Lytechinus pictus: one gene and its partner. The protein of the gene in region 1 purifies or fractionates together with the protein of each later gene. This does not show direct contact. Links are inferred from orthologs where the notes say so. Each region holds a gene or a part of one and is shown in the gene's direction. Other genes may lie near its edges. The genes, in order: condensin-2 complex subunit D3-L-like and structural maintenance of chromosomes protein 4-like.

Region 1 (17,125 bases):
AACGCTTATTTTATCAGAAGTATAATGCAGCATAAATATTACCTAATTGGCTTAGCAGATATAGAGCAGCTGTTCCTTTTCAATCAGGAGATTCAGAGCATATACACCTCACCTGGGTTGAGTGCAGCACAATGCTGAAGGAAATCGTGCCATGGCTAGAAATCGAACTCATGCAAGCTTCAGATTGAAAGACGAAAGTCATAGACCACGACACCCCCACATGATTTATTACGATTCATATCTGTAATATCGTATCTTCTGCTCTGCTATTGTTTGACTCAGTCAGTTAAAGAAATTACGAGGAACACAGCCAAAATTGTATTTGATGTATGATGGAAATGAAATAAATTTCTAAAATCTTGAAAATTAATTGAGAAAATTAAATATAAAGGGGCCGCGGAACCTGAGGGCTGAGCCCGGCCCTCTGCATTTTTTTTCTCCAAAACCATGTACAAAAACGGACAAATGACCACCCAATGGTGATATTTTGCATCGGTGCATGACGACAACCCCCGCCCCCCCCCCCTCCGAGTCTGTCGGCTCGCAGCCCCCACTTTTAAAACCGAAATACAGATAACGGGGTATATAATTAGGGATAAAAAGATATGATTTTACTAAGCCAATGACAATTGCGTTACATGTTTCTGTATTACATTTCAATTGTTACATTTGTATTTATGATGGATTTTGTTTACTGTTTTTGTTGGAAATGAGAAAAAATAAAACTGAAGCTGAAACAATTTAATCAAAATTTGATGAAATTTTGAATTTCTTCCCCCTATATTATGTATCTACAAAGTTTTTTTGTCTATAGGCTACTCCGCTTTTTAGCAGTCTCCTCCATGTCCAACCTGTTTATATTAATGATTATATTATTTGTACACGGAGATTTGAAATATGTTTTCTTGATTAGGCCTATATTTTGTATATCAAATTGTACGAAACAAATATTATTGTAAATGTTGGAGAAGGAAATAAACGAAATGAAATCACAATGGCAAAATTGTTATATTTAAATCCATGGTCTGATCCAGAATTTTCCAAAGGGGGTTGGCACATTTCCCGAGGGAAATTTTAAAAGCAAAAAAAAAAAAGAAAAAAAAGTTTTAACCGAAAACTAAGGATATTTCGTCCACGAAAATATTGACAAGAAAAAAAGGCATCACTATCAGGGGGGAGGGCACTCTTCGATTTTAACGGCATGTTTACATTACAAATTTTAATTCTGCCTCTCAAAAGGGGGGCAGGCACGTACGGGCCGACTTTGCCTCCCTCCCCTGGGTCCGCCAGTGTTTAAACCTTTGGCAACATTTCAAAATGTCCTCTGCTGAACTTTGGAATAAATTACCTGATATTGTTAAACAAGCTAATAATGTAGAATCCTTTAAGTCCCTTTTGAAGACATTCCTTTTTGTAAAATAAGATATACATGTACCTATTAATTGATATTATATATTTGCTCCTCTGTGAACAGGCTTTTCTTTCTTCTCCATTCTTTATATTCTTCTTTCTAAAGCGCATAGAGACATGATTTTATCATCGTTATATGCGCTATATAAGCAATTAATGTTTTATTATTATTATTATTATTTCTTTAAAAAAATAGTTATATGCACGCCGTCATGGGTGGGCTGAATCATCGTTACAAAAATGATCAAGATTCATTCATTTCACAATGAGTGTATGATAATGTCTCGAAGTTCCCTGTAACAAAGAATTTCTTAAGAATAAAATCAGTTGTCAATCCCTTTTTTTTAAAGGTCAAGTCCACCCCAGAAAAATGCTTATTTGAATAAATATAGAGAAAAATCAAATTAGCATAAAGCTGAAAATTTCATCAAAATCGGATGTGAAATAAGAAAGTTATGACATTATAAAGTTTCGCTTATGTTTCAGAAAAAAAGTGATATGCACATATCAGTGACATGCACATGAGACGGTCGATGATGTCCCTCACTCACTATTTCTTTTGTTATCTACACTGTAAAAAATTGCTGTAATTTGTACGGTAAATTGATGTAAATTTTAACAGTAAGATACTGTAATGATGATTTTACAGTAATTTGCCGTATTATTCAGGCGGTTCACGGTAATTTACAGCAATCATTCGAGTTCTTTTTTTTGGGAGATCAACTTTACAGTAATTTACTGTAATTGAGCACGCGAAATGCATTCTGGGATACAACACGTCACACGCGCATGCGCCTCTTACTCGGCGCGGAGCATAAATTCTTGCAAAATTTCGAGTGTCAGATCGATAAGAAGTGCCGTCGGAACTGCTGTTGTTTTGAATTCAACTTTACGTCTCCGGTCAAGTACACATTCCCTGGTAAGTAGTGATATTTTCATCCTGTAGATCCTTCACATGTAGAAATGTTTTGTTGAACTGTTTTACATATAATGTAATCTTTCATGGAACTCTGACATTCACCATCCTCACTTTTCGCGCTCTCTCTCTGTTGTCTATGAAGATGTATGTGTTAATGTGTGTTGTGCGGATGTTGTCTACGGAAGATGTGTACTGTGTAGATTTAGACTTAGAGTTGTGCGGGGTGTTGACTCAAATTTCGACTGTTTTTAACTTGCTAAAAAATAGTAAAGACCTATGCATAGAAATTTGGTATGTGTTGAAATTATCATTAAAATGCCTCTTAGCAATTCCATCATATCGACTAAATTTCATTACGCTACTTTTTGCTAGATCAGCTAGATAGATTGCATCGGATTCCGATGTCTGCACGCAGTTTAGCCATGCAACCCTGGCCATACTCGTACAGTACAGTCATGCAGCGCAGCATGCAGTGCTAGTGCAGTGCTTGTATGGCCTATGGTGCGAGCTAGCTAGCCAGCGCATGCATGCACCGCGCGCTAGCGCTAGCGATATGGCAAGGAGTTCCGGCGCGGCCGACCGTGGGCAATCGTCTGTTACAGTCTGGTCTTTTGCATTGTGACGTCATCACTGTTTGAAAGCGTGCGCGTGCATATAATTAGCCAAGGATGGGGAAGGGGGATACTCCCATGAATTCATTTGTGTCTTTTTCACAATATAACACATATATATTTCCTTTGCTATTGCAGTTTTTACACTTTGATAATGGTAAACTTTTCTTGAAAATATAGACTTATCCATTTGTAAATATTTTTAAAGTTGATCACAAATAACACACAAACAATTTTTTTTTCCAACTCTATATTTCTACTTCTCGGTTCTCCACTTTTTTGTTTTGTCCTTTTCTTCCCGCTGCTTCTAATTATTCACCTCCTTTGTCTTCTTTCTTCACCAATTTCTTCTCCTTTGCCTTCCTTCTTGCCACCTCCCCTTTCCTTTTCTTTTTTTTTTTCATTTCCTCTTTTAATATTCTAATTAATTCTTATCTCTTCTTTTGGCTTCTCCTACTTCTCATATCTCTTCCATCTTGTCAAACTCTTTCTCATTTTGCTTCTTACTCATTCCATGTCTATCTTCTTGTCCCCTATCTCCCTCCCCTCCTGCCCAGGACCCTACTCATTCAACTTATTATTTTTTTCTATTTTTTCCCTCTCTCTCTTCCTCCAGTACTTCTCGTGGAAGCTGCGGCTGCAAAAGATGATGCAAACCTGCATGATGTAGCATCTGGTGTGCTGAGAGGGTTGCAGAGCCTGTTTAAAGAAGGGAATGACTCCCTTTTCCTCATCCGTGATGTAAGATTTAATAATTACTCTCCTGAAAAATGTTTTGCGCTATTAGTCCTGAGTGAAAAAGTTAGTATTTAATAATTGCTTTTGTATCGATGACTCTGGACTTTTCAAGACCCTTTGTGGAACCTTTCCTTAGATCTGTTTTTTTTTTCTTTTTTTTCTTCAATTTTTAATTTTTTGTTGTGGGGGGGGGGGTGTTTTGTTGCTAAGGCACGCCCCCATTTGAAAAAAGAAATGAGAGAGATCACTTGCCCTTCCCCCTTCGAGGTGGTACATAATTGAAAATTAATTGATGATTATTTCTAGATTGTATTGGACCTTCACTCTTGGGGACTGCATGCTGTATGAAAATTAAAATCAATTAAATGACACTGAAGAGTTGAATCTTGTGTGTAATGGTAATGGAAACATGGGATTATCATATCTTTTCAGGTTACAGATACTGCTGAGGACATGGAGAAAGAGGGAGATGCATCTGATTCACCCAAACTCATAATCCAAGGTGCATGACAACTTCCAGTGTTTTTAATCAAACCTCTTAGAATAATATAATACAGACATTTAAAACATTCTCAGATTTAGGTTTAGACTAAATCTGTACAGACATGTACGTTTATTTTGTGTCAATTTTCTTAAACAGACTTGTATTTCATATGTACATCTTTCACTTTCAGCATTTCAGATTTGCCATGCTTGTAATTATATGCAGTCATTAACAAAAGAGACATGTGAATACTGCATGATCCCAGCCTTTAAAACTGGGCAAAAAACATAAATTATAGTTTTTCACTTTGTAACGCGTCCATAAGGGGGGGGGGGAATCAGGACAATTGGAAATAAATAACTGAATTTTACTCTAGTGAATTTGTACCAGAGATTTTCCCATCAGCTAGTGTTAAAACAAATTATAGAAAATGAAGCTCATAACGATTAAATCTTAACATTATTTTGTTTGATAGGAGATCCATTTGACTCGGCCAAGTCCCAGTGGATGGTCATGGTTGAAAGCAGAGTTATTGGCCATTCATCATCAACAACTGAAGGCTTTCTTTGTGGGGTGGCATACCTTTTTGCCACCTATTACAACCTCAATTTGGAATATCCAAGCACGGCTGCAGCAACACTGGAGTTCATTCAGAGGTACAATATGGCATGCAAAATATCGGACCATTTTCTGGAACTGACATAAGTCCAATTTCATGGACATCCTAGCTAAATGGAATTTCAGTCTGAAAAATAACTTGATTTTAAAAAATGTGGAAAAATAAAGAAAAATATTGGTGAAGGTTTGAAGAAAATCCGTCAAAATTTTTTGTTAGAGTTGTGAATATTTCAAGTTATGATGTTGTGACGTCACATCCGAGCAGCTCATAAATTTAAGCATTTTGATTCTAGAACATACTTTCTTATCTGATAAATAGGCTTTTTATTAATGTGCTACTGCTTTGCGACTTGATGGAGCGAGCAACATCCGACTGTTGCCTTGCCTTAGAAAACAAAGACATTCTTCACAGTACTTCTGCATTTATTTGGGAGCCAAATATGATTTCCATTGCAAGTGTCACGTTTTGAAAGTAAGCAAACCCAGCAGTACTGTGGGGAACTCCAAAATTTCAAGAACTTATTAGCGACTAGCACACTAACATCTGGTGTATTTTGGTGCAGGTTAATGATTACGTACTTGAGTAGAGAAGAGTGTGTCTCTGTACTAACAATAGAAAAAAGTGATTTAAAAAGTATTCTTTTTTAAGTAAAGCTGGCTTGATGGAGCCATCTCTAATTACTGTTTGATAAATTTCATTTTAGGTTTGTCAATTTATTTTGACTCCCTCAGTTTTCATTTGATTGTTTTTATTTTTATTTTTTCTGTAATATCTTTTTCTCCCTGTCTCTCAGATGTCTCCTCGGAATAAGCCCTGATGGGTCGAAGTGCCATGCGTCGAAGAGTCACTGCAACGCGAAAGTAGTGTCATTTGTGCGTCGGTTTGCTGATTTCCAGTGGCTTTAATTTCCTGATTTGTACATTTTACCCCATCATCTAAAAACATGTGATTTTATATATCACCCAATAATACTATGTTCGCTTGGTCACCATCCTCTTGAATAATTGGTTGAGCTTTGTCTGACCAAGCAACTACAGAGTTTATGCCCAATATTGCATAACATGAGAAACTTGCTGAAATAGATTGTCGACATGCTAGTTATGAGAGAACATTCATTTGAATATGCTATTAAGTTGACATTGCCCACAACTTTATTTTAGCCGTTTCTCAAATCCAGGTCAAGTAAGAGTGGGGGAGGGGTAAAATTCATATAGAAATTGTAAATGTAAAGGGGTTTCATACTTGGAAAAATAAAGTTAAGAATATCTCCTTACAACCGAATTTGAACCATACAAAAACATAGATATATGGCACTACACACTGTTTGTATGCCTCCGCCCACCAAAGGTGGTGTCGGAGGCATTATGTTTTTGTGTTGTCCGTCGGTCCGTCTGTCCCACTTTCGTTCTCGCGATAACTTAAAAACCGGTCAACAGGTCAACTTCATACTTTTTGACTTGAGGATACATATCTGGGCGACAATGAGCTGATAAGTGTTTGGGTCCAAAGGTCAAAGGTCATAGAATTCACTAAAATACATAAGAAATAGACCATTCTTACAATAACTCCAAAACCCTTTGATAGATCAACTTCAAACTTGTCTCGTGTGTATATGTTAAAGTAACAATGATCTGTTCAGATTTTGGGGTCTCAAGGTCAAAAGTCAAGGTCATTGAATACAATAAAGTACATATAACATATACCGTTCTCGCAATAACTCCAAACCATTTGACGAATCAACTTCAAACTTCGCTCATTTGTGCATATACAAGTGACAATGATCTATTAAGATTTTGGGTCTGAAAGTCAAATCTCAAGCTCTCTGGATTCAATCAAATGCATATATTTGCTTTTTTGAGAAACAGTTATCTGACTAGATTTTGAAGTCACAAGATCAAAGGTCTTGAGGGTTTTTTTTTTCTTTATGGAAATAAAAACTAGGAAATATATTTCTGGTATGGCAGTAGCGGAGGCATCTATTTCCAACATTCGTGGTCGAAAATTCATCTTTAGTTAGGATTAACATTGCTGTAAATCAATTTCGATTTCAACATTGTGCTACATTATATATATATGTATATATATATACTGCGTAGTAAGCGCTTGGTCATCAAGATGTTGACAAATATTGCAATAAGCTGTTTACTGAGAACGATGTAAACTTCTGTAATGTATGTGGCTTTAACACAGCCTACCAAGGTGGAGTGAGATTATTATTATATTATTATTACATGAATGACACAGTGATCTCCATTATTGCATATCATGCATGGCTGACTGTTAGCCATTTTTGTAAAGAGGACCAAATTATATCAAGAAATTCAGGAAATCTTAAGGTGATGTAGCAATTTTTTGTTTTCTTATAGTCAGAAAAGGATATTAAATGTATCAGAAATTCCTCAAATGAAAAAGCATGTGACATTTTGATTACATTTCAAGAGTTTCTCAAAATAGCAGATTTGCATGATGTAGTACAGAAAAATTTGAAAATTTTAGATACTTCTCACAGATTGACATTTTTCTTCATTATGATTACTGAGGATTTACTACATTGTATTTTGTTGTTCACAGAATTATAACATTTTCATACTTTCACTTTCGCAGCTGTTCAAGTGTCACAGTACAAACATTACTTTGGCAAAATTGGAGGTCATATTTGTACATGTTTGTTCGTCAAATATTCATGTAAATATTAAGTATTTGCAATGGTAGCAATACTCTCATTCGGGTTCTTTCTTGCCAGTTTCAATATCAAATTGATAGTACTGTTGTAAGAAACTTTATTTGTGAGGAATATTGTATGCAATGTAATATTATTGTCACAATTTAATGTATTCATGGCAGTTAATGTATTTGTATGCTTGTAATATAAATTATTGGTTCAGTGTGTGTTTAGGACTATTCATTATTTTGATATAGGATTGAATAAGGTTTTCTGTCTTAATAAGATTTTTGGGAATATGTATATATAAGAAGTTGACATACACTTAATTTTTTATCAATTAATAGTATACATGTAAAATTACTCATAAGTGAGAAGTTTCACTTAAAAATTCAGTTTTCTTCTGGTAGAAGCATTGTCGTCAGGTTACCATGGAGTAAGCATTTTGCGTGTTACTACGGATATGTGGATGTAAGAGATAGAGAGTCTGTGTGTGTGCGTGTGTGTGTGTGTGCGTGTGTGCGTGTGTATGTTCATCCAGTGTTCATCCAAGGTCAGCTGAGACAAGCCCTCCTAGAAGGAAGTTCACTTTAGTCAGATTTGTTTTCTTAAAGAAATTGAAAGTTTGCCATTATTTCAGGCAGTAGTTGCATAAGTGAAAAATTGCTTTCACTTGTAATTGATTCTAATGGGTTATGACTGAATATTTGAATGATTATGGTACCCTTCATGTAAATGGATTGCTTTAAAACACACCTGTTCATTAATGTACTCTCATTTAATATACAGTGGCCTGAAAGTTTGTGTAAGGTTAGCAATTACAACTACTTTAATGCATGCAAGGTGAATTTTACTTGTTGAATAGATTTATTTACAAAATGTTTAAGTCAACTGAATTGCAAACAGCAGATAAAGTAACACCAACCAAATTTTATGGTTGTTCTTACAACCTTTGTTGCTTGCTCTGACAGGTCCAACAAATACATAAAGAGTTTATGCATGCAAAAAGGATGCCACTTATTGTAATACCATTCAGTCCATGGTAATTACCTATTACCAAATCCAGAGGAACAAAGTATTCATGAAATTTGACTACATTAGTGAACAGGTCTGTAATGAACATCAGCATTCTTAGGACATTTCTGTGTACATAGTTTCTGTATAATTGTCATCTTTGAAATTTGATTATGCAACACATTCTACTTGCCAGCATTTTGCCCATGATCCTTACAAAAATTGTACTGTTTGTGAAATATGGCATTGTCAGTTCTACTGCATGTTAATGCAATAAAGACTTTTCAAAGTTTCATTCAAAAGTTTTACTCAAGTGTATTTTTGTCATTGGAAGTTGTGCCAATTACAGTAAAACATACTGTAAATGGGGTCAATTTACAGTAAATTACTGTAGGGAGTGTACAGTACTGGGGGTAAATTGGGAAGGTGTACAGCATTTTACTGTAGGAAGTGTACAGTACCTCACTGTAATGCAAGGGAAATTTACAGTAGTTTACTGTAATTTAACCAAATTTACAGTAGCAACAATTCTAAAATTTGGTAAATTTTACAGTAAGCTACAGCACTTTTCACGGTATTTTCCTGTAGCTAGTTCAAATTTACAGTAATTTACTGTAGGACGAAACTACAGTAGCTTACTGTAAAATAAAAATTACAGTAAATTACCGTGCAGCAGAGTTGCCAGTAATTTACTGTAAAATCTACAGTAAACTTTTTACAGTGTATTTTTTTACAGATTTGACAACTAGGACCAACTTGACTGAACCATATAGCATTAAACAATGCTAATTCCACATGTTCATAGAGGAATTCATCGTTGTTTCACTTGACAAAGAGGAGAAAATTAGAATATTTCATATTTCATATAATAAAATAAAAAAGAAATAGTGAGTGGATGATGTCATCAGTCTCCTCATTTGCATACAGACCTGGGGAGTGTTTCATCAACATTTTCATCCGACAAGTTGTCAGATCTGACATCTTTCTCTGATGTTGATTAGCTGAGAGGTACTGTTACTATGGTAACTGTCGGATAAAATGGGACTTGTCGGATAAAACGTCCGACAAGTCCTTTCATGAAACGCCCCCCAGGGGAGTGTTTCATCAACATTTTCATCCGACAAGTTGTCAGATCTGACATCTTTCTCTGATGTTGATTGGTTGAGAGGTACTGTTACTATGGTAACTGTCGGACAAAATGGGTCTTGTCGGATAAAACGTCCGACAAGTAAATTTCTTAATTTTCTTTCTTTTCTCATTTTTTATGGTGGTGATTTTTTTTGGGATCCGGCCATATGCCCCCTTCCCACTGAGCTCCCCTCTCAGTGCCCCTTCCCCCTTGTGCAAGGTGTCGCCTCAACCATCCATGCCTCAACAGAGATGTTTATGCGTGTTTATGCATATGCGCGCGCGAGTCCAGCGAACTTAAAGGAGAATGAAACCCTTGAAACCAGCTGAATCCATATCAAAGAGAAAAATCAAAGAAACATATTGTTGAAAGTTTGAGGAAGATTGAATGAATAATAAGAAAGTTATGAGCATTTAAATATTGAGATCACTAGTGCCATGTAGATCCTCAGGGCCCATCGGCAATGCGACCAAGATCTGTGATATCACACACGTACAACTCCCTCATTACTCTAGTACTTATTTCACTTTATATTCTCACTTTTATAGAGTCTATCACAAGGTGAGGTGTTCTCTTTATGAGATGACAAGTACAGAGGTTTCACAACATTATACCATTGATGAATCGTTTGTCATATGATTAGAATAAGCAAAAAGAGATGTTTTGGGGTATATTTTCAGTGTCCAAATGGGAGAGTTGTACGTGTGTGACATCACAGATCTTGGTCGCATTGCCAATGGGAGGATCTCCATAGCATTAGTGATCTCGACATTCAAATGCTTATAACTCTTTTATCGCTAGTCCTATTTTACTCAAAGTTTTGTTGATCTTATTCTTTGATTTTTCTGCTTTCACAAAAGCTAACTTGCTCCAAGAGTTTCATTCTCCTTTAAAACGTACGGTACGGCCGGCAGGCGCGCGCGCGGGAAATTTGATTGAGAAGGAAGATGGCGAAAGAACCGGAATCTAACGTCGCTGAACGCTTTGCAAATTTGGGAATTGAACTCTTAGATGAAGGTGAGACGACACTTAATGTGAATTAGGAGATCTAGCGTTAGGTATTCCTGCTTAAGAGTGATGTTGTTTTTATAATTTTATTGCAAGGTAACTTTGATTAGCTGATCTGCTCTGGAAGCTAGTGCCGCTATGCGGTACGTGCACGGCTGGCCCGCCGGCGCTCCCGGGCGACAATATTTGAATATTCCGCTCATACTCATAGGCGGATCCAGGGGGGGGGGGGGGGGGGGGGGGGCGAGGGGCCCGGGCCCCCTATTGGCGGAGCCAAATAAAAGGGGAAAGAGAGGAGAAAAAAAGAAATGGAAGAGGAGGAAGACGAGTGAATAAGATGAGGGGAATTACTAGCCTACGGTACTACTACTAGGCCCTACTTGGAAAATAAAAAGAATCTTTCATCATCATGATTCATCATGATAATGTTCATCATCATGTCACTTAAAATTTTTAGGTTCACGCTCGCATTACCTGCTGGGTGATTTTCATATCTTATAATCTTGTTCAATCTGGAGTCAAAATAACAAGTTTGGAAGTCAATAATATACTAGGCCTATACACAATCAGAGTGTCAGAGGCGCTGGTCAGAAAATTGGGATTGTCCCAGTTTTACAGCGACTGTCTCAGTTTTTAAAGCTTTCTTCACAAGAAATGTAGTAAAGTTCATTCACCTGTCAAGTGCCGACACCAATCAAGTACGCTAGTCAATGTAACAAATCAGGTTTCATAACAAGATTATTGGAAGACTGGAAGTCATGAAAAATAGACCATGTGTATGTAGACAGTGAACTGGGGGGAATTAAGTCAAGATCACTGAATCTATTTTTAGCACTCTCAATTCCTGTAATTGATGTCTTTGTCCCGTAGGGGGAAGTGAACAAAAAAAATTCCTATAAACAAGGACAGTCTCAATTTATCAAGACATGATTTGTCTTGGTTAATGAGGATATCCTTGTTTTCTGGGACAATCCCAATCTTTGGACCAGCGCCTCTACTGACAATATATTTCACCTCTGAAATTGAACTTTCATTATTTTGTGTGATTTACAAATTGATTTTTAAAAGGTGCTCTGTAAAAATATCAGTTTTATGGCCTGAATTTTATCGCAAATGTTGATTTATCAGGTAGGCCCTACCTATTATTAGGGAGACCACAAGATTTTTCTATCTCATCAACCACTTCATTAAACTGTTTGATTTTTTCAGATCTTGATAAAAATAGTGCAAAATAGAAATCTACCAAATTTCATAGTAATCCATGAATCAGTTTTTGAGTAATAATCAAATGAATTTCGAATGAAATTCCACCAAATGCTCCCAATAGGCTCTGTAGTATAATTTGTCACAACACACTCACAGCTGAAACACACGACCACACACAGAGTGCAGATATTTTGTGTGCAGTTTTGCATTGGGCTTTCTGGAGTATGGGAGGGGGGGGGGGTATTTTGAAAGCAATTCTGACACTTGATCCTGAAGGAAAGGTGAAAAATGAGTATTTCCATTGGATTTGCCATTATCAATACTACAAAAACCCACTAGTTTATAAAAATATGGTACTTTTATTCACAAGATACAAAACTTTGAACTTCCTTTTTTAATGCCACATCAAAATCATGGTAGTAACCAAATGTAAACTACATGTAAGTAGGCTATACATGTGGAGCATTTTATTCTCTTTAAGTTGATACCAAATTCATTAAATTTGGATAATAGGATCATATGTCAGAAATGCGTTGAACTTTGATTTTTCCCTCAAAACCATGACCATTTTTGGCTGTGTGAATGCGGTGAAAAGGGCGATTTTTTTTCTCTGTGTGCAGTCGCCCTACTATTATTTTCGTGTATTCCATAACATTTTCAAAATATCCCTTTTCAGGTCTGATTGTCAAAACGTATCAGCTAGCGCTGCACGCTCGCATTTTGATTGGCGAATTGTGTACGTGTCTCAATATTGATTTTACAACAAACTACTTAAAATCCCCTTTTTACCAAATAAAGAAGTTGTGACCAAAACTTTTCACTGCGATGTCATCGAGGCAGCGTTGCTCAGTCGGTTAGAGCGCATGTTTCGAATAAGATCGTAGATCTCAACATGAGGGGTTTCAGTCCCGCTCATGCCGAAACGCGTCTAACAAAAAAGTATGATGCTATAGCGTTGTGTGTTAGCGTGCCTCACCACTATTCAGTGCAGGTGTGAATGCAGTTGGAAAACACTCCATCCATCGGAAAGGACGCAAATGTTGCTCCTGTGTTACATAGGAGAGGTACAACCTATGCATGTTAACACCAATACACTATTTCGTCAAAGATTAGGGTGTTCATCCGGTGTATTGCACCTGCCGGTCCCGGCAAAATTTAGGTCAAGTACCCGATGCGTTTATGCCCATGAGGGCCCTGTTTCGTATACATCCAGATCCAGTTGCGGGGTTTGGCTGCCATTTTGGATTTTGGCCCGGCACACTTTTTTCTCGGACCCAAGACAAAAAATATTGTCATTTCATGTTGAGATATTAATTACAAGGAATAAAAAAAAAACTGTTGCCGTATTAAAATGACAAAAAAAGTATTTTTGACCCATGTATAGCCCACTCACTCAATAATGGTAGTGACTACATGTATATGAAAACTGTTAAGTAGGCTATCTTTAAGGAGCATTTAATTCTCTTTAATTTGATACAAAAAAAAATTGATAATAGCATCATATGTCAGAAATGTGTTAAACATTGATTTTTCTCCTCATAACCATGTCAATATTTGGGTGTGTGAGTGTGGTGCAAAAGGAGGAATTTCTAGCTATGTGTGTGCAGTTCCCCTCATAATGAATCAGAATTGCTGCATACATGTGCTTTCCGGGGATTCATCAAAACTGAATATAAACTTTTAACCTGTTATATATATTTTTTTCCCTTAAGGATGGGTGAACGCAGTATGGGAGAGCGACTTCACAGAGAACCCCGAGCTTCCAGAGGGTGTCAAAGGTCAGTGGGCCAACCAGCGTGAAGTCCTAAGGTCATTGAAAGACGCCATTGACTGCTCGACACCGTGGGCCAGGGTGGACTTTGCCACACTTCCACAAGGTACATTTAGGGCGCTAAACTTTCACAAAGATTTGTTATAATAACAAATGCACAATATCTGTAGATACATGTAGCAAGATTACTATCAGCCGACCAGATTGAACGATTTAACTAGCTTTTAAACTGACATTGCATATCAGTCATTATATTATAACAAGTTTTAGGAAATGGGGCCCAATTTGTTTGGCAAATTTTTCAATTTTGCTATAGTTTTCTACTCTGGTGGAGATTCCCCATATACAATGTTGTACCAAAATTGTACATTAAATATATCAACAGGCAAATTACTTCACACCCTCTCTTGAAAGAAAAAAAAATTACTAAATAGGTTCATTATTGCGGATTGAAATAATCGCTAGAGGGTATTCATTTGTCTCGCAATCTACTATGGTCAACAAGGAAAAATACAAGTTCACGAGCTTTCGAGTGCCGCTGCAACTCTTTATCAAGTGACGAAAATTATCTGATAAAAAATTAGTTCAGTCATCATGAACCATTATAAAATTTCAATTTCTGCAAATTCATGCTGTCACATATCAAAGACTTCAAATTCTAATAACTTTCTTAATCTTTGTATTTTCCAAAAACCTTTTATATCAATTTTTTTTTTTCTGGTATTTTAACATTTTTTTTTCAAGTTGAACTTTCCCTTTAATGCAAATTGTTCTTTCATGTATGACATTGAAATGTCATTTGTGAAAATTGTACTCGGGGGCTGTTTTGTGAAGAGTTACAACTCTGGTATCTCTGCCATTATGGCAGTTGCCATGGTAACGGGGCTCAGCAGCCAATCACAATCGAGGGTTTTTGATGGTAGTTACAATAATGGCAAAGTGATGCTAGTTGCAAGTCTTAATGAAATGGGTTTTCTGCATGTTGGACAGCAGCATTTCATTATTAGGAATAGGACTGTCCTTTCATCAGCAGTAGAAAGAGGGAGAGAAATATTTTAAAGGTCCTATGACACAAAAACCATCTTATTTTGGATATGTATCTATTCTTGGGTAGTTTTACTTGAAAAATACGAATTTGCCATCGGTTTCTATGTACGACGAACCAGTGTTGAGTTATTCTATGGAAATTAACTTCAACGGGAACGCCCACTAAAATTTTCAAGAAAGTCAGCCGATCGACCTGTCAATCATCGTGACGTCATCGAAAGAAAGCTTTCTCAGCTGTGCAGCCGGACCCCTAGTTATTGCACATGTTTCTCGTGTAGTTGCTGTTTCAATCAAGCTCATCCTTAACAGATTTTTTAGATTTTTATGAGGTTTTGATCATGGCTGCAGCATCGTCATCAACTGCGTCTGATTCTTCAGACTTTGAAGATTCAGATTCTGAATATCATTCCAGCAATTCAATTTATTTACTTTGAATCCACACGTGCAACCACAATAGGCACTTCACGCTCCAAACGTCAGCAACACTCAGCAGATTCTTCCCCTGACGTCATAATTGTCACTGATATACGAAACCAAATTGGGCTGAATTTTTTGTGGGCGTGGCAAATTTGGCTCAATTTTCAATATAAAACTGCCTTTGAACCTGATGTGGGATGTTTTTCGGGTAAAATTTTGATGGAATCGTTATTGGTAACCACTAAGCTAACGAATAAATCAGCATCTTTGCTGTATTTCATAGGACCTTTAAATGTCACTTTATGTAGTTTTTAATACAACGCTCGTGTACATGTAATTGTTTTTCCGAGCAGGGTTTTGGAACATCCTCTGTGAAAATGGAATCGTACCCAGGTCTTTGCTGGCTGGACTGCACCATTTTATGAATAGGGTGGACAGCCTCCTTTCATCGGCAGTGGAAAGAGAGATTGCAATATCGGCTGCTCATCTGTATATCCTCCTTCTCGAGATACCAGGTAAATATGTAGTTTGCAAGCCTAGGATGGGCTCAATTACAAGGTAATTGATCATTTACGTGATTAATTACATTTTCTCAGGTAACAATTGTAATTGTATTTGAAATTTTGAAAGGGAAAGCACTCAACCCAGGTGAGGTAAATGGGTACACGGTAGGAATTCCTTGAATTGAAAAATTCCTTGACTGCTTGAGCGCCTAGGCAGCTCAGCTAAAGCCGGGGTAATAATAATAGCAGGGCCCGCTGGTAGAACAGTTTTCGAAACTGAAGTGGCTACCCTGGGTAAATATACCTATATTAATATATTATTTGTAATTGTAATTGAAAAAAAAATGTAATTGAATTCAATTACTTTTAATATCATTCAATTACTTTACAATAAACTTACTTGTTTTCATGATTTAATTTCATGACTTTTTTTTTTTTTTTCATAAAGTTTTTATTGATCGATAAAATGATTACATAAATATCAAAATATTTCGTGTCGACTGCTTCAGCATCAAAGTGTGTAATGGGTAGAATTTTGCTTTTTATTAAACATAAACCATCTTGTCAGTTTCTCTGTAACTTAGAATTGTGTTGAAATAAGTGGTGCTAGTACATATAGAGAATACAAATTGATTTCATTTATGACTTTTATAGAAAGTAATTGAAATTGTAATTGTAATCGACAAAAGTCATTGGTAATTGTAATTGAAAAAAAAATGGAGATATCTTGCCACGTAGGGGAGAATTGAGTCTCTGAATATTGCAGAATTACATGTACACATATTCTGTCTAATCTGTGTAAGCGTATTTAAAAGTGAATATTTCATCATGGCGATTTAATCAGTCCCATCTCAAGCCCTTTGCTAACTTTAATATTGGCAGTTCAATATAGAAATGTGCCATTTGGAAAAGTGGCCTTGCTCTACAGGCCTTTAACATTTACGCGAAGTGTTGGTTTGCTTTGTTGCACTTTGACTGAACATCTACATTGTATCAATGGAGCTCTGTGGCCTAGTGGATTACTCGCTGTACATTGAAACAGAGGGTTGTTGGTTCGAATCCCAGCCAGGAGGTATTAAACTTCAGCAAGAAATTGATTGGCATTGTGCTACACTCACCCAGGTGAGGTGAATAGATACCCGCTAGGATTTATTCCTTGAACGCTTTAGCGCCTATATGGTGGCTCAGGTACAGCCAGGGTAATAATATGGTACCAAGTATCAAGGGCAGTAAAGTATATACACATAGTAACTATGCTATATAAACGGACATGTTAATATTATCATTATTATTACTATCCTCCAGGAAGCGGAGCATACCGTGTCCAGCAGCCGATGCTCTTTGAGGAAGCCCTGGACACCTTCAAGCTCTGGCCGAAGACGGAGAGCAACAAGCGGAAGCGCCCCGAGTCCAAAGGCCATCGGAGCTCCCAGCCACAGGGGGGTAAGAAGTCCCGTCGCATCACCTCCAGCCAGACCGCATCCCAGAAGGCTCATGATGCCGGCAACGATGAGGAGGAGGATATGGAGGAGGATGAGGAGGTGGTTTCCTTGACAACGCAGGAAGTGGATCGCATCCACCGGGCTA
Region 2 (16,754 bases), on another chromosome or scaffold:
ATGATATAAATCTTCTCGTCAACCTCGTGGTGATAGCGGACCCCGCCATAAACTTTTAAAGACTGTACTATTGACGGAGCTTATTGCGTTACTCTCTTACATCGTTTATGATGATATACATTCTATTTTCAACCTCGTGGTGATAGCGGATGCCGCCGTGAACTTTGAAAGGTCGTACTATTGACGGAGCTCATTGCGTTACTCTCTTACATCGTTTATGATGATTTACATTTTATTTTCAACCTCGTGGTGATAGCGGACCCCGCCGTGAACTTTTAAAGATCGTGCTACTGACGGAGCTTATTGCGTTACTCTCTTACATCGTTTATGATGATATACATTTTATTTTCAACCTCGTGGTGATAGCGGACCCCGCCGTGAACTTTTAAAGATCGTGCTACTGACGGAGCTTATTGTGTTACTCTCTTACATCGTTTATGATGATATACATTTTATTTTCAACCTCGTGGTGATAGCGGATGCCGCCGTGAACTTTGAAAGGTCGTACTATTGACGGAGCTCATTGCGTTACTCTCTTACATCGTTTATGATGATTTACATTTTATTTTCAACCTCGTGGTGATAGCGGACCCCGCCGTGAACTTTTAAAGATCGTGCTACTGACGGAGCTTATTGCGTTACTCTCTTACATCGTTTATAATGATATAAATCTTCTCTTCAACTTCGTGGTGATAGCGGACCCCGCCATAAACTTTTAAAGACTGTACTATTGACGGAGCTTATTGCGTTGCTCTCTTACATCGTTTATGATGATATTAATTTTATTTTCAACCTCGTGGTGATAGCGGAAGCCGCCGTGAATTTTGAAAGGTCGTATTACCGACGGAGCTCACTGCGCTACTCTCTAACCCCGTTTATAATGATATAAATCTTCTCTTCAACCTCGTGGTGATAGCGGACCCCGCCATAAACTTTTAAAGACTGTACTATTGACGGAGCTTATTGCGTTACTCTCTTACATCATTTATGATGATATACATTTTATTTTCAACCTCGTGGTGATAGCGGACCCCGCCGTGAACTTTTAAAGATCGTGCTACTGACGGAGCTCATTGCGTTACTCTCTTACATCGTTTATAATGATATAAATCTTCTCTTCAACTTCGTGGTGATAGCGGACCCCGCCATAAACTTTTAAAGACTGTACTATTGACGGAGCTTATTGCGTTGCTCTCTTACATCGTTTATGATGATATTAATTTTATTTTCAACCTCGTGGTGATAGCGGAAGCCGCCGTGAATTTTGAAAGGTCGTATTACCGACGGAGCTCACTGCGCTACTCTCTAACCCCGTTTATAATGATATAAATCTTCTCTTCAACCTCGTGGTGATAGCGGACCCCGCCATAAACCTTTAAAGACTGTACTATTGACGGAGCTTATTGCGTTACTCTCTTACATCGTTTATGATGATATACATTTTATTTTCAACCTCGTGGTGATAGCGGATGCCGCCGTGAACTTTGAAAGGTCGTACTATTGACGGAGCTCATTGCGTTACTCTCTTACATCGTTTATGATGATTTACATTTTATTTTCAACCTCGTGGTGATAGCGGACCCCGCCGTGAACTTTGAAAGGTCGTATTACCGACGGAGCTCACTGCGCTACTCTCTTACCCCCTTTATAATGATATAAATCTTCTCGTCAACCTCGTGGTGATAGCGGACCCCGCCATAAACTTTTAAAGACTGTACTATTGACGGAGCTTATTGCGTTACTCTCTTACATCGTTTATGATGATATACATTCTATTTTCAACCTCGTGGTGATAGCGGATGCCGCCGTGAACTTTGAAAGGTCGTACTATTGACGGAGCTCATTGCGTTACTCTCTTACATCGTTTATGATGATTTACATTTTATTTTCAACCTCGTGGTGATAGCGGACCCCGCCGTGAACTTTTAAAGATCGTGCTACTGACGGAGCTTATTGCGTTACTCTCTTACATCGTTTATGATGATATACATTTTATTTTCAACCTCGTGGTGATAGCGGACCCCGCCGTGAACTTTTAAAGATCGTGCTACTGACGGAGCTTATTGTGTTACTCTCTTACATCGTTTATGATGATATACATTTTATTTTCAACCTCGTGGTGATAGCGGATGCCGCCGTGAACTTTGAAAGGTCGTACTATTGACGGAGCTCATTGCGTTACTCTCTTACATCGTTTATGATGATTTACATTTTATTTTCAACCTCGTGGTGATAGCGGACCCCGCCGTGAACTTTTAAAGATCGTGCTACTGACGGAGCTTATTGCGTTACTCTCTTACATCGTTTATGATGATATACATTTTATTTTCAACCTCGTGGTGATAGCGGATGCCGCCGTGAACTTTGAAAGGTCGTATTACCGACGGAGCTCACTGCGTTACTCTCTTACATCGTTTATGATGATATACATTTTATTTTCAACCTCGTGGTGATAGCGGATGCCGCCGTGAACTTTGAAAGGTCGTATTACCGACGGAGCTCACTGCGCTACTCTCTTACCCCCTTTATAATGATATAAATCTTCTCGTCAACCTCGTGGTGATAGCGGACCCCGCCGTGAACTTCAAATTGATTTGAAAACGCTAGCTACCCAAAACATTTTAATAACATATTTCAAATCATCGTGCGTGCTTGCGTCTTCTACTTCATTTTAATTGCACTTGCGACTTTAAGATGATGCGTCGTAAGAGATCATTCCAATAATTCTAAATCGCTAGCACCTAAAAATACTTCTAAAAGATGTCCCGCCGATCGTTCATTAACCTGTGATCTATGAGAAATATTTTCATTTTATTTTCCTTTGCGCCTTTGCTCGGAAGATGCGTCTTTCGTTTATCTTTCTAATAAAAATCACTCGGTTTATTTTAAAGCTATAACACCTCAAAACCCCTGGCTTTAAAACATGTTCCAAACGATCGCGCATGTTGGCGACTTCCATTCCAATGCATTCGTCTTTGTGACTTTGTCAGGAAGATGCGCGCGACCGCGAACAACATTTTGATGTATTCCTTTGTTTTTAAACATCGCCGATTCGATTTTCGATTCGATTTCGATTTTAGAAGCTTAACTGCCGATCCGATTTTCGATCTGATTTTTGATCCGATTTACAACATTACTTGTAATGATTCAATAAATGTTACTTAATAAATTAGTACTGTTAAATCGGACTCACCGGTTCTTTTCTTGAATTTTCTGGCAATTTCCCACGCTTCTGGCTTCAATTCTGCGGCTGTTCCTGTCGCGGTAGACAGCTACATATGCAACTTTATTTATAAATAGAGCGCCCCTTACGATAGTTGTTAAGAACGCGGCCAAATTGTTCGGTTTTTTGCACTGTGTCCAAGGCGTTTTTATTTTGTTTGATTTTTTATTTTTAATAAATATTTTGTTAAATAGCGATTTTTACGTCAAATATTAAATTCATATCACAAAATATTTTTAATTGTAGAAATATATATAATATCATGCAATTATTCATTCTATATATATTTTATGATAAAATTTATAATTGTTGCGGTCTTTAAAAAAGGATAGTCGATTGATCAGGTGATGACCACACGTATCACGTGATCTGAAAATCAGCTTCATACCGCTTTGATCGCACTCGACGGTGACCGGACTGACTGCCAAAAAAAGATCGAAAAATGACTCAAAATTAAATGTAAGTTTCCCTTTATTTTATTAAATTCAAATTAGGAATAGGAATATATTTAATGGGCAATCTTTTAATAAATGATAAACAAACGAGGACAAAACTCATATTTTGGGAGTAATATCATACTTGGGTGCAGGAAACAGTACGTTTAGAAGTTCTAACCTGTTTTTAACGCATTGTCGCCTATGAGGTCCATACATGTTAATGTTTGGACCTCATTGGTACTAGGAGTGACCAAAAGCTTCAGTCTCTGTATTTTGGTTGTTCCGCTGAACTACGTTGGCTCCACTCACCATACATAGACTGAAGGGGATGGGGCCCCGTACCTACAGCCAACGTATAGTGAACTAGCGTTTTATAGATCGCGATTTAAAACTGTTTTTTAAGCAAAATTGAAAGTTTCATGGTTTCCATTATCAGGGAAATATAAATAACTTAAGTAATTGCATACCTTGGGCGGGAGTTATTGAAAAAAAATCCTCTGGATGATTGAGAAATCTGTCATCTAAGACATTTTCACCTGACCTGACGGTTTTTCTTGCAAGTTGCCATCTTGAATGACGTCATTATCGTTATTAACTTAATGTCTCGAATCGATATATCGCGATTATAACTAGTACTAGTACTAGTATAAGTAGTATCGTTTATCTTCGGTTTCGTTCGCATATGGAGCAGATCGTATAATATCGAAAGCAATATCGATATCACATTCGTGATTGTTGACGTTCGTTTGTAAATATTTTATAGTTTGGCTGCCATTTTGACCATTTTTATCGTGTTCAACCCAATTAAACATCGGTAAAGTATATTTTGCATGCCTTTTTCATCTATATCGTTTAAAGTATTCAAACATTGACATATCAAGTTTTAAAAGTTTGTTGTTTATACATCCTTAGATTGTATATTCGATGTGTAAAATTACATCAAACTTTGGACTGTGAATTGACAAAAGGGAGGGAATGAGAACACATGCGAGCCCACACGTACACCCTACCGTCGGTAAATGGGGATTACAGTAAAATGTCAGAAATTGTTGAATAAATCCCCAGAAACGACGGTTATTCCTGTCTACAATTGCCCTAACTTAAGCCCCTAGCCCTAGGCCTAGCTGTCGGGCAAGTGATAAAAAAATTTGCTTGCCCGATTTTTTTCAAAAATTATTTTGCTCTTTATTATTCTTTTCTGTCTTGGCTGAACTTGATTTAGCCTACTGCCGCTGCCCTGGCTTGGCATTTCTTTTTCTTGACTCTTGTTCAAGTTGTTCTGGCCGCCGATCACGACGACAAAAGTTGCCTATTTTAGTCTTACGACTCATTGTTTATTTGGTTTGAAGTTGAAGCCGAGTCCTGGCCAGGGTGACCAGATTTCACAAAATGAAATACGGAACAATCGACAAAAAAAAAGCTCAAGAAAGAAGGCTAAACAGTGTTAGACTTGTGAAAAAAGTACAGAATTGGAAATGGAAGGGAGGGTGAACTAAAGAATGAAGGAGAGAAAGAAAAGTGATGAATTGAGAAGAACGAAAGAAAAATGAAGGAAATAATAAAAATATAAGAAAGTTCTAATAAAAGAAGGATGAGAGAATAAAAATAGATAAAAAGGTTTCTGTCATTCTTTGAATTGAATATAGAAAGAAAAAAAGAAAAGGGAAGTAGAATAAATGTGTGAAAGTCAAAACAAAGAAGAGAAAGACAAAAAGAAAGTAAGAAAAAAGGAGGAGGAAAGAAAGAATGAAGGAAAGAAAATTTTCCTTCATTCTTGGAAAGAAAGAAACAAAGAAAGAAGAAAACAGGAAGGAAGGAAGAAAGCTAGGAAAGAAAGTATAAGGGAAAAGAATAAGGACAAAATGAAATAAATAATGAAAGAAAGAAAGGAGGAAAGAGAGGGAGGAAAGAATGAAGGGAGGCCAGAATGAAAAAAAGAGAAAATAATGGAAGGAAAAAATTAGTGGAAGGGAGAAGGAATGAAGGAAAAAAAAAAAAGGAAATGTAATAGGCTAAAGAAGGCAAGTAAGAGAAAGAAGGAAAGAAAGAAAATGAACAGAGAGAGAGAGAGAAAGGATCAGGAAATAAAAATAGATATGTAACAAAAAAGGGCAAGAAGGAAAAATTAAGATAGAAGGATAGAAAAGAACGAAAGAGGAAAAAGTTCAAACTTCAAGCAAATAAAAACAATCCAATCATATAACAAAAATCCTTATAATATTTGGTGTTTTTTTAATATATTTTTGAAATAAAAAAAAACTAAAATGTTTTAGAAATGAATAAAATACGGGACATCTGGTCCTGGCCGAGTCAGTCCGAAGCTTGCATGCATTCAGCGCGATCTAGCTCGAGACTCGGCTGGCTCGATCGCGATCGCTCGTGTACGTCCGTACATGCGCTCAGAGGGCGAGAGAGGGGTTTCCCCAGCAGCAGCTAGCTCCTTCGTCGATTAGTAGCGCATGCGCACATTGTAGTTTAGAAAGTAAGATGGCAGCCTCCATCGAACGGGACCGCTGGCGATAAATTGTCGCCTTTTGTCGGTAAATTGGCGCTGATTTGACATGTTTCCACTGTTTTTTGACTGGTATGACATTGTATGAGAGATAATTGGCCGATAATTCCAATTTATCAAAAAATTATTAAACTTTACTGTCAATTTATCTTTTCATTTTCAAAACAACCACTTGCCCGATCGGGCAATTGACTTTGAGAAATGCTTGCCCGCACGTCATTTTCACTTGCCCCGGGCAAGCGGGTTTGTCGCACCCTGATTATGATTCAAGAAAAATAAAAAAATGAACAGTCAGTGTCAGTGATGAAAATTGAATGTCATGAATGTGTAAAAAATTAAATACAGGAAAACAGTCTGAAATTGAAGTGAGAAAAAAACGTTTATTTTTCCGTTTTACTCTACATATTTCAAATTTTGGTTTTTCCTTTGAAAAAAACCAAATTGAATTGAATTTTTTGTTTCCTTTTTCTCTTTGGTGTTCACATAACAGAAAATCGAATCAAAATAATTGATCATTGTTTCCTTTTTCTGTTATGTGTTCATGAAAGTTTTTAGGCACCAATTTCCCAGGGTTAAGGAAAATATGTGCATTTGAAAAGCATATTAATAAAAGGGTGTTTATGATTAACCAGCAGGGGTAAGAAGAAAACACACACCAAAAGTTGCTAAAATGTCAGATTTTGCATCTTTAAATCCGTGAAATGGGCATCCATTTTCCATTAGAATCTATTCCTTAAAAATATTGTAATTTTGTTGAAAACTATTAAGAAAAATTTCTTTTTATAAAAGGTTTTATTTTTCGCCCACCACTTGGCATTGATTAGGACCTACATGTAGACATGTAGATAAACGGCTAGCAAAATAAATAGACGTTTATGCTTTTAATGGTCATTTGAACAGCGTTTAAATGTTTTGACTCACTCAGCCCTAGTTACAGTAGGTAGATTCTAGATCTAGGTAGGACAAGTGACAAAAAAAAACAAAAAACGAAACAGCATTTCTACTAAAAAGCATTAGGCCAATGAAACTCGATGTTGAGTTTCCCATCCCATTTTTTCCAGCTCATAATGAGGAACCGATTTCATTATTCATTATTTTCTAGAAGATGAAAGTTTGACCTTTTGTAACCTTTTAACACACTTTTATTTGTTAATTTGGACATTTTCTGCAATACACTCAATAAATATGTAATATCTCAACATATACACTGTTTATATCTTCATTTGAGTTATGTGTGAAAAGGAGTGGATTGTATTGCTGTTTCATACTGTAATTGTAGATCTAAGGTGGCTTGGTAGTGGTAGGGGATACGTCACATATCAACACATAACACTGATTCTTTGCTTGGATGTCCCTTTAATTTTCCTTCTCACTGAGAGCCTCCCTACCTTATTGACATGGACTGGACACACCGCAATGAGAGATCGGAGCGGGGTATAAATACACAAAGTATATAGTAAATGAATTTATAAATTAAATTTTTGGCATTTTGTAAAATATTGTTAAGTATACTAGTACAATAAATGAAATGGGAAATTTAAATCAGACAAACATGGATCTAAACATTAATAAATCCATTTAATACACCATGGTCATTTTTGCATTCTCATCTACATGTACATGATCTAAGTTTTCCATCGCGAGGATCGCCCTAAAAATGTCAAAAAGTTTCTATCTGACCGATGTTAGTGATCGTGTATGGTAACAGCGTGTTGCCATTTTGATGATTTTGAATAGTCACTGACAAGAACATCGTCATTTTTTCGTCAAATATTAAAAATCCTAGGCCCTTGGCCTTGCTCGGCGATGAGATCATATTGAGATTCTGCCTGCACCGTACACGTACTGTACATGTACGTACATGTGTACTATCGCTGTTGCGTGCGTGATTTGTTCAAAACACTGACCAAAGTAAATCTTTGTGCATACTTGCTGGAGCGCGGCGCGGGCGCATTGTTGCATGGCCATGGCTGGGTTGATTCTACGAGTTTGACTAACGTTATGGTTGAGCATGCAGCATCATTCCATTCACAAGAAAAAAAGAAAAGATTTACAGGTATTTACAAGATACCGGGTATACAAGTAATTGTGCGAGTGAAAAGCTTATATAAATGTTTTATATCAGTTTTGAATCTAGATCTATGTCAAAATAGTAAAATAATAAATTATTTTAAGAATTTGATTTTCAAACGCGGGCCAAATTTCATAACGCGGACGGGCGACGGAAAACTCAACATCGAGTTTCAGCGGCCTTACCTTGATGTATTCTTTATTAGCATTATTATCACAGACATTGCTCGAAACTTACCTCAAAATTTCCTAAATAGTGAAAGATACTCCACAAAATGTGCTGGAAAATGCATATTGGTCCATCCCTATATGCTATACTGTGTGGGCTAGTGGCTAAAAATAGGCATTTCAAAGTCTTTAAATGCTGACCTAGACTGTGTGAGCCTCTGAGTGGGGCAGTGGAAACATGTCACATCAATAGATAATCAACTTGGCTGCCAGAAAATGTGAAGAAATCACTAAGTTGGTCTACATTGTTCACTCAAAATATAGAAAGAATATTCGAGGCCAACTAACCAACGGTATTGACATTTTGGACACATGTCTACAGCACAAATCTAGTGCCATTTTCTGGCCTACCCTAGTAATAGTATTGTGTTCAAATAATTCCTTGAGACACTGTAGAATCAGTCAGTTTATTTATTGACTCAGTGCTTATTTTTTCCTTATCTATATTCACCAGGACTGCAACAAGATGCCAGTGTTAGCGGAACCAGAGCAAGGCAAGGCTGAGGGTGAAGCAGAAAGCCAGCCCATGGACACCAATGAGTCCATACCTCAGGAACCCTCGACTCCCACAGCACAACCCAGGCTCCTGATCACGCAGATTGTGACTGAAAACTTCAAGTCTTACGCAGGCAAAGTAGTCCTCGGCCCGTTCCATAAGGTAAGTTGGTGTAGAACATGAAGCAGTCTTGGATTGTCCCTATGTCGAACGTTTCCATCTAAAATTTTGTTGGGGACAAGGCCAGAATTAGAATCCGGTTGCAGAGAATGTCCATTTTGATAGCACAAGTTTCACATGTGACAGAATTGTTATTGATTTTCAGCTCTATTGAAAACTACTGTACCAGGATTTATAGTTGTGAATATGTATGTACTAAATTTCTGCCCTGCTTACCTGAAAAGAGAATAAAGGAGTAAGAGAGAGAGAGAGGGAGAAAGAGTTCAATCCAAGTTTGATATTATTCCAGAGAATAATTTTTCTTCTCGAATTGGATTAGCATTTCTGGTTGTGAGAGATTTCAACTATGTTCTGGTTCTTTTTAGTCATATATACCAGAAAATAATTCAGAAATTTTGTGGAGTAATCCTAAAAAAATGTGGAGTAATTTGTGATGTGCTACCAGGAAAATTATTCCACGGCTGTATTTATATGCAGAGTTTCTCTTGCATTATTGGGCCGAATGGAAGTGGAAAGTCTAATGTCATCGATTCCATGCTGTTCGTCTTTGGCTACCGTGCTTCAAAGATTCGATCCAAGAAACTGTCAGTTCTCATCCATAAGTCGGAGGATCACAAGGACCTGAAGAGCTGCACCGTAGCTGTCCACTTTCAGAAGATCATTGATACAGGGGTGAGTAAGAGGTTTTTTTAGGAAACTTATGAAAATTATGTTGGTTTAACTCCGGCATACAATGCATAATCTATTGTGATAATCTGATATTAAAGAAATTGTAGTAGCATTTGATATGAATATTCCTACCTATAAAACCTTATTAAAAAGATACCGATCAAAGTTCCGAATAGTGATATACACTGTATGATCTAATTGAAATTCTTGCATTCCTGTCGAAAAGATAATGAAAGCATATTCAATTCCAAATTGTAATGACGTTATCATCAACTGCAACTTAAAGATGATTTGAATACTACTCAGGTCAGAAGGCTTGCATCAAAAGAGAATTTGAATTTTAGTATTCCTCGCATTTACACATATATGCCAAACTTCAACTGGAATAATTTTACTTCTTGAAACTTTCATATTTTATGAAAAATTCATTTCTTTGTAAATCGTACCGTAGTTGAATCGTGTAGGGTGAGCAACTTTACGAATGACTGGTGATCCTTTCTTGAGAAAAGTTATAAATGCGCACCAAATAATCATGGGTGTGAATTTAGCTCATGAGAAATGACTCGGTCATTCGTAAAGTCGCTTGTAACTTTGGAACTGCTTTGTGAAACGCCCCTCGATGTATTTCCCTATATTGAATAGGCCGGGGTCGATGAGTACGAAGTGGTACCCAACAGTCAGTTTGTGGTGTCAAGGACAGCGCACAAGGACAACAGCAGCAGCTACTACCTGGACGGAAAGAAGGTCAACTTCAAAGAATGCACGGCTCTCCTCAGGCAAGCTGGAGTAGACCTCGATCACAATAGGTTCCTCATCCTACAGGTCAGTAGCGTAATAAGCCAAACATTTTAAGGGGGCCAGAAATGGTGTATGGGGCAAAATTTCTTTAACAGCTGCGAGTGAGTCTAAATTTTGACCTTTTTATCACAAAATCTAATTTTGTTATCAATAGAGTTTGAAATAATATGTAGAAAAATAATATTATATTTCAGCTCTTTCCTTGCCAATTCCTTTCTCCCTGTTTTCTTGGTCGTGAAAATTTTTGGGGGTCCATGGCCTTCCAAGCTCCCCCCCCCCATTCATTTGTGTGCCAGTGCTATGACCTAACACTGCATGGGGGGGGGGGGGGGGCAAAGCTACATTAGCATAGCAAATACATGAGGATGATGGGCAATTTTGCCCCTATGCCAGCTCAAATCGCCCCTAAAATGCCATAAATTGCATGCTGTGGGGTAACCATCCAACAATATTCAGGAATAAGAAATTTCAGCTCTGAGTGTAATGAGAAATTAATTTTCTACATTTGGTAGAATAATGGTATTTACATTTACTGCACAATTTGCTTACTGGTTGCATAAAACATATGCCCTGAAAGTGAAAGAAATAGCCCTCAAGATTCAGCAATCACCCTCGATGTGAAGGGAAAAAATGGTCCTGTAGAAATAACACTACCTACCTTGAGTTAGTCTATATACTCACTTGTATCATCTGCAGAAAAATGCACAAAAATCGTAAAATGATAATCTCATCCAAAATTAATTTCAGATGTAAATGATTACCCAAGACCTTTTATACCTTTCAACTGTCTTCCATTTAGGGAGAGAAAAATAACAATTTTTTTCACCCTTGGTGATCCTGTGTGTTCTTATTTTGTACAAGACTTTTGGGGAATTTTCGGAACAAATTTCTGTGGTCCCAAGAGATTGACTGAGCAGATAGAGTTGCCTGTATTCTTAAAGGGGAAACCAACCCAAATAAAAACTTGTTTTTAGAGGAAAAAGAAAAATCAGACAAGTTGATAGGTGAAAGTTTGAAAACTATCAGACAAACAATTAGAAAGTTATGAATTTTAAAAAGTTGTAAATATTGGTAATCACTTTACCCATGGAGACTTCAAATTGGTTGCATATGTCATAGTGATGTAAGGCAAGGACTACTCTACCATGTACTCCAATAAATAAAATGGCTAAAATGTCATTTTTTCAAAAGTTTTACTTCAAATTATTATTTTTTTCATGAGGACATAAAACAGTATACTACCTGGGCTATATGAAGATTACCGCCCCAGGGGAATGGAGAAAATCACAAATCCCTGATAATTGGGTACACAGCCTGTGAGAAAGTTGTCCTTGCCCCTTGTACATGTAATATTTTACTTACACAGTTGCCAATTTGAAATCTACATAGTCTTAGGGATAACCGGATCTCTATTTTAAAGCAGCCATAACTTTCTTATTGCTTGTCCGATATCTTTCAAACTTTCACCATTCTGTTTAAATTTATTTTTCTCCTTTTCAACACAACATTCTTGACCATGGCCGGATTCCCCTTTAAATGCAATAAGATTGAAAGTCTTTCCATTGTTGACGAACTCTCTGTTTGTAGGGAGAGGTCGAGCAGATAGCCATGATGAAACCCAAAGCCCAGACAGAACATGAGGAAGGCATGCTAGAATACCTTGAGGACATCATCGGAAGCAACCAGTTCAAGGAATCCATCGAGGAGCTCGCAAAGAAAGTAGAAGAACTCAATGAGGAAAGGGGCGAAAAGGTAAGCTATTATTGTAAAGCGGTGAATTGAGCTAAAGCAGGGGTAAAAATTGTTGCACTTTGAATCCTCTAGAAAATGGGCTATATAAATCCAGCTATTGACGTTTTCATTTTCAAGATTCTCTTACTTGTATGTCACTGAATTTCCATAACTTGAAAGCTCACCATGATTGTTTTCACCAACTCCACAACAGCTCCCCATTGCAGGAGTGGCACATTCAAATGCAAAGTATCAAGCAAAACTTGATTCTAAAACCAAATTAGAAGTGCACATTGGGGACTTCCATTTGATTTTGTGAGTTGCAGTTAAAACTCAACCCTGTCTGCAACAGGCCAAAGAGTTTCTTAAATAGTTTTTAATCCTCGTAGTGACCAATTTAACCTGGCGTAGTGGTTCAGGACTAGAATCCCCATCTCGTGAACTGGAACTCGGGTCAAGGGTTCAATTCTCAGCCAAACTATTTCAAAGACTCTTAGAAATGGAAACTTCTGCCTTCTAGCTTGGCACTCAGCATATAAATGGAAGGGTAATGTTAACTTTATAATGTTATGCAGGACCCTCTGGTAGAGCAGTTTTTATAACTGAACTGGCTATGTGGCTTTTTATTGAGTATTGCACAATGTCTACTTAGCTTGTTGTACACGAGCAAATGGGAGGCTTAATGTCAAACAGTCGTACCGTTGCACATGTACCGGCCATAATGTACCGTTGCACGGGTCAGGAAAAGGTGAAGTCACTATAAAAATTATGATTCACCGCATTGCATGTGCTTGTAAATGCAGTTGCAATACGCATAGGGCTTTCTGGCTAAATGTGCATTGCTTCTGTAGATCTAATGTGCGTTTGAGGGATTTTCCTTTTGCTTTCATTGAAAAAAAATCGATTATTTGTATTTTTGCCAATTTCCGAGGCGTTGTACAACACAAATAGCGAATATTCTTATTCGTGCAATGGTGCAACATTTCACATTTGGTGAAAGAAAGAGACGTTCTATTCAATAAAGCATCTTTATTTTGCCTTATGCGAAAATCTCGCACCATGGCACTCATGCCTATTCACTATTTGTGTACCATCTTGATTTATAACTGACCAGTTAACCCGTGTCAAGGCAGTGGAATCAGAGATGGAAGAGTTGGAGAAACCAATGAAAGAAGCCCAGGAATTCCTCAAGACTGAGAATGAGGTGACCAAGAAAAAGAACAAACTCTACCAGAAGTACATGTAAGTTTGACATGTCACAGCTTTATAGCCTCCTTCCCTTGTTCTAACTCTGTGCTTTACATTACGGGAAGCTGAAAATGTCATGATTTTGTTCACATTGTATGTTTCTCATGATAACTGCACCTTCCCCCATGATTTAATGATGAAAGATGAAAGAACAGTTTAGCTATGATTCCCAGAAAGTTATGAATTTTGTTCTCGCCTGAACGAAGTTCGGCAGAAACCTAATAATTAGTTTTCCTGTTGGTTTGGTGGTCTGTTAGTCTGTTGGTCAAAAGATATGGGGCCCGTTTCGTAAAGGACTTACAACCGTTGTAACTTTGCCATTATGGCAACTACCATGGAAACAGGGCTCAGCAGCCAATCATAAATCAAGGTTTCCGTGGTAGTTGCCATAATGGCAAAGTTGCAACAGTTGAAAGTCCTCTATGAAATGGGCCCATGACGTCATGTCCGTCATTGTATGATGTTTTTGTTCATCTTGCCCTAATTTCTTTATTTCTGCATCATAGAGTACATAAACAAAAACACCAGAGTTCAGAATACGGGCTATGGTAAATTTGTTTCAGTATTCTACCAGTTCTGTCCCAGCATTGCATGGTATTTCTGAATCTGAAGATGCCTTTGTATGCACACTGTGTGTGGAGCTATGACTGCAGTGTGCCAAACGATTCCTATTCAATTTTTTCTACAGAGGCTGTTATAAATCCTTGAATGCATAGAAAACCAGCAAATGTTTGGAATTTTAGAGTTATATTCCTTTTAATTTCATAATAATGTGAACACATTTTAAAAATTGAGGCACAGGAAATGCTATTTCTTTGCATGATTCATCAAGTTGGTAGCTTTAGGACCCCTTCATTGGGCGGCAAAATCAAGAGGTGTTCGGAAAACACAGCAGGATTTTTGTTATAGTGATCTTTGCAATATTTTCTGCTTGGTCAATGATCTTTAGAATATTTATCACAATTCACAAATTAGGGTAAGACAATCCGTTCAAATATTAAATTGTCATAGCATTTATCATTTGTAAAAGTGCGTAGCTTTAGGTCCCACCATCATACAATTGTTAATCTTGGGAAAGATTTTGGGAAAGATTTGACTCTTTTGCATAGATAGCAAGTACAAGTACATAATATATTTTTTTGGTTTTATATTTATTCATCATTTTTACATTTGTTTTATCTTTGGCAATGATGGCTTTGCTGAAATAGCAAAATTGGCAGGGGTAAACTTTCTTATTGTTTGATCTCGTTTAGAACTCGCTCCTCTGTGCTTTTCGGATTTGTCTTTTTATATTAAAAACAATTTTCCACTTTCCCTTTTAATGATTTTACTCTGTGATGTTTACTTCAGCTCTGAGTGTAATGAGAATAAAGCCAAGGCACAGGAGAAGAGGAAAGCTGTCCAAGATGGATTGAGGGAGATGGAATTGTCTTTTTATATAAAAAAACAACTTTCCACTTTCCCTTTTAATGATTTTACTCTGTGATGTTTATTCCAGCTCTGAGTGTAATGAGAATGAAGCGAAGGCCCAGGAGAAGAGGAAAGCTGTCCAGGATGGACTGAAAGAGATGGAGGAAGGTCTCAAAACTCTGGCTTTAGAGAACAAAGAGAAGATCAAGGAACACAAAAAACTCTACAAGTAAGGTCTTGATCACACTTTTTATTGATACCTATAATAAGAGCAATAATGAAGGATTACTATATGGTATTCTAATTGATTACAAATTGAGTGATAGATCCATTTTCAATTTCAAATCTATACAGGGTGTATTGTTAAAACCCACATTCAGACCTTTTTTTTATTTTTTTTTTTACTAAATTGTAATTTATTGAGAAAAATAATATCTATATGTCTCTATTTCATAAAACGTACACAAATATGGTTATTATATCAATGTAATTTCAGTCATTTTGTTAAAACCAGGGTGAAGATATACACATGTTTCAATGTTTTTTTTTTTCATCTGCAAGAGCAGTGCGCATTTTAGCTTGCATGCAGCTTGAGTGCCGCGATGAGCGAGTGCGCCAAGCATTTTATTATGAAATACACTTTTTTGGGGGAAAAATACAGGTTTTTTTATCACAGAATACAGTTTTTCTCCTGAGCACAATTCTAAGAATTGGATTTAAAAGAAAAAAGAAAAAGACATGTTAATTTCTTTGCCCTCCTCAGACAATATGAGAAACTTGCAGAAGTAGCAGAGCAGAAGAAGGCAGACTTTGCTGAATTTGAGAGGCAAGATGTGAAATGTCGAGAGGACCTGAAACACACCAGAGAAAAACAGAAGAAACTTGTCAAGAACTTGCAGAAAGAGAAGACAAAGGTACGGATTTGTGGCATTTAACCCTAATTCTCCCGGGGGGGGGGGGGCCATAATGGCCCCCCCCTTGACAATTTTCGCGATATATCTGCTGCGCAAATTTTTTTGACCTCGTCGCTCACTGACTTTTTACTTTCAAGTCTCGCGCAAATTTTGAGACCAAATTTGTGACGCCCGGGTACACGGTTACGACATTACGCAACATTATGTAAGTGCATGTCAGACCCAAAACTGCTCATAAACGTGATTTCATGTACAAATCCAATGCAAATTGTGTATTTAGCCAAAATTCATAAATGTATCATTATTTCTACTTTTACTGATTAAACTGAATTAATTTTGCCTTGTTTATGATCAGAACTAAGTCTGGAATGATTTCCATTGAAAAAACAATAAAAAACAAAAAGTAAAAAAACAAAGAAATACATAAGAAATTTATAAAACAATAAAATACATAAGAAATTGATTTCCGAACCGAAGTTTTTTTAATTGCGATTGTTAAGATTGCTACAAAGAATTTTTTTACCAAAAATTAGCATTCTAGGAGCTTTATTTAGTGAATTATAGCAAAAAGTATGATTTATGCATAAATTAGCATAATTAATTCATATAAAATAAAATCTCATTATTTTGGAAAATTTTACCATACAGCCTTGTAGATTACATCGCACACTACCAGTGTGCAAATTTTTGCGTCGCTCGCGCAATCGGCGGCCGAGATCTTAAGGGGGGGCCATAATGGCCCCCCCCCCGGGATTGACAAGAATCAAAATACCCCGGGAGATTGAGGGTTAAGTGTCTTTGTATAAAATGGGGGGGGGGGGGAGGGTGTGGTTGGAAA

The links.
Region 2: the proteins of condensin-2 complex subunit D3-L-like (region 1) and structural maintenance of chromosomes protein 4-like purify together in Homo sapiens (co-immunoprecipitation; 3 studies listed by BioGRID and IntAct, with this or other methods). This does not show direct contact. The link is inferred for Lytechinus pictus from reciprocal best matches to the Homo sapiens genes NCAPD3 and SMC4.

Annotation. Positions count from the first base shown.
Region 1 is NC_087250.1:11,495,730-11,512,854, reverse strand, and holds the start of condensin-2 complex subunit D3-L-like, read left to right. Parts: upstream 1-10,496; 5' UTR 10,497-10,533; coding exon 10,534-10,603; intron 10,604-13,512; coding exon 13,513-13,677; intron 13,678-15,388; coding exon 15,389-15,550; intron 15,551-16,843; coding exon 16,844-17,125. Other genes in the region: uncharacterized protein LOC129267861, read left to right, coding at 2,200-2,329, 3,557-3,681, 4,111-4,180, 4,638-4,818, 5,575-5,686.
Region 2 is NC_087260.1:4,775,191-4,791,944, reverse strand, and holds the start of structural maintenance of chromosomes protein 4-like, read left to right. Parts: upstream 1-8,898; 5' UTR 8,899-8,936; coding exon 8,937-9,128; intron 9,129-9,623; coding exon 9,624-9,818; intron 9,819-10,457; coding exon 10,458-10,637; intron 10,638-12,200; coding exon 12,201-12,365; intron 12,366-13,458; coding exon 13,459-13,586; intron 13,587-15,090; coding exon 15,091-15,231; intron 15,232-15,765; coding exon 15,766-15,916; intron 15,917-16,754. UniProt on the Homo sapiens protein: Central component of the condensin complex, a complex required for conversion of interphase chromatin into mitotic-like condense chromosomes.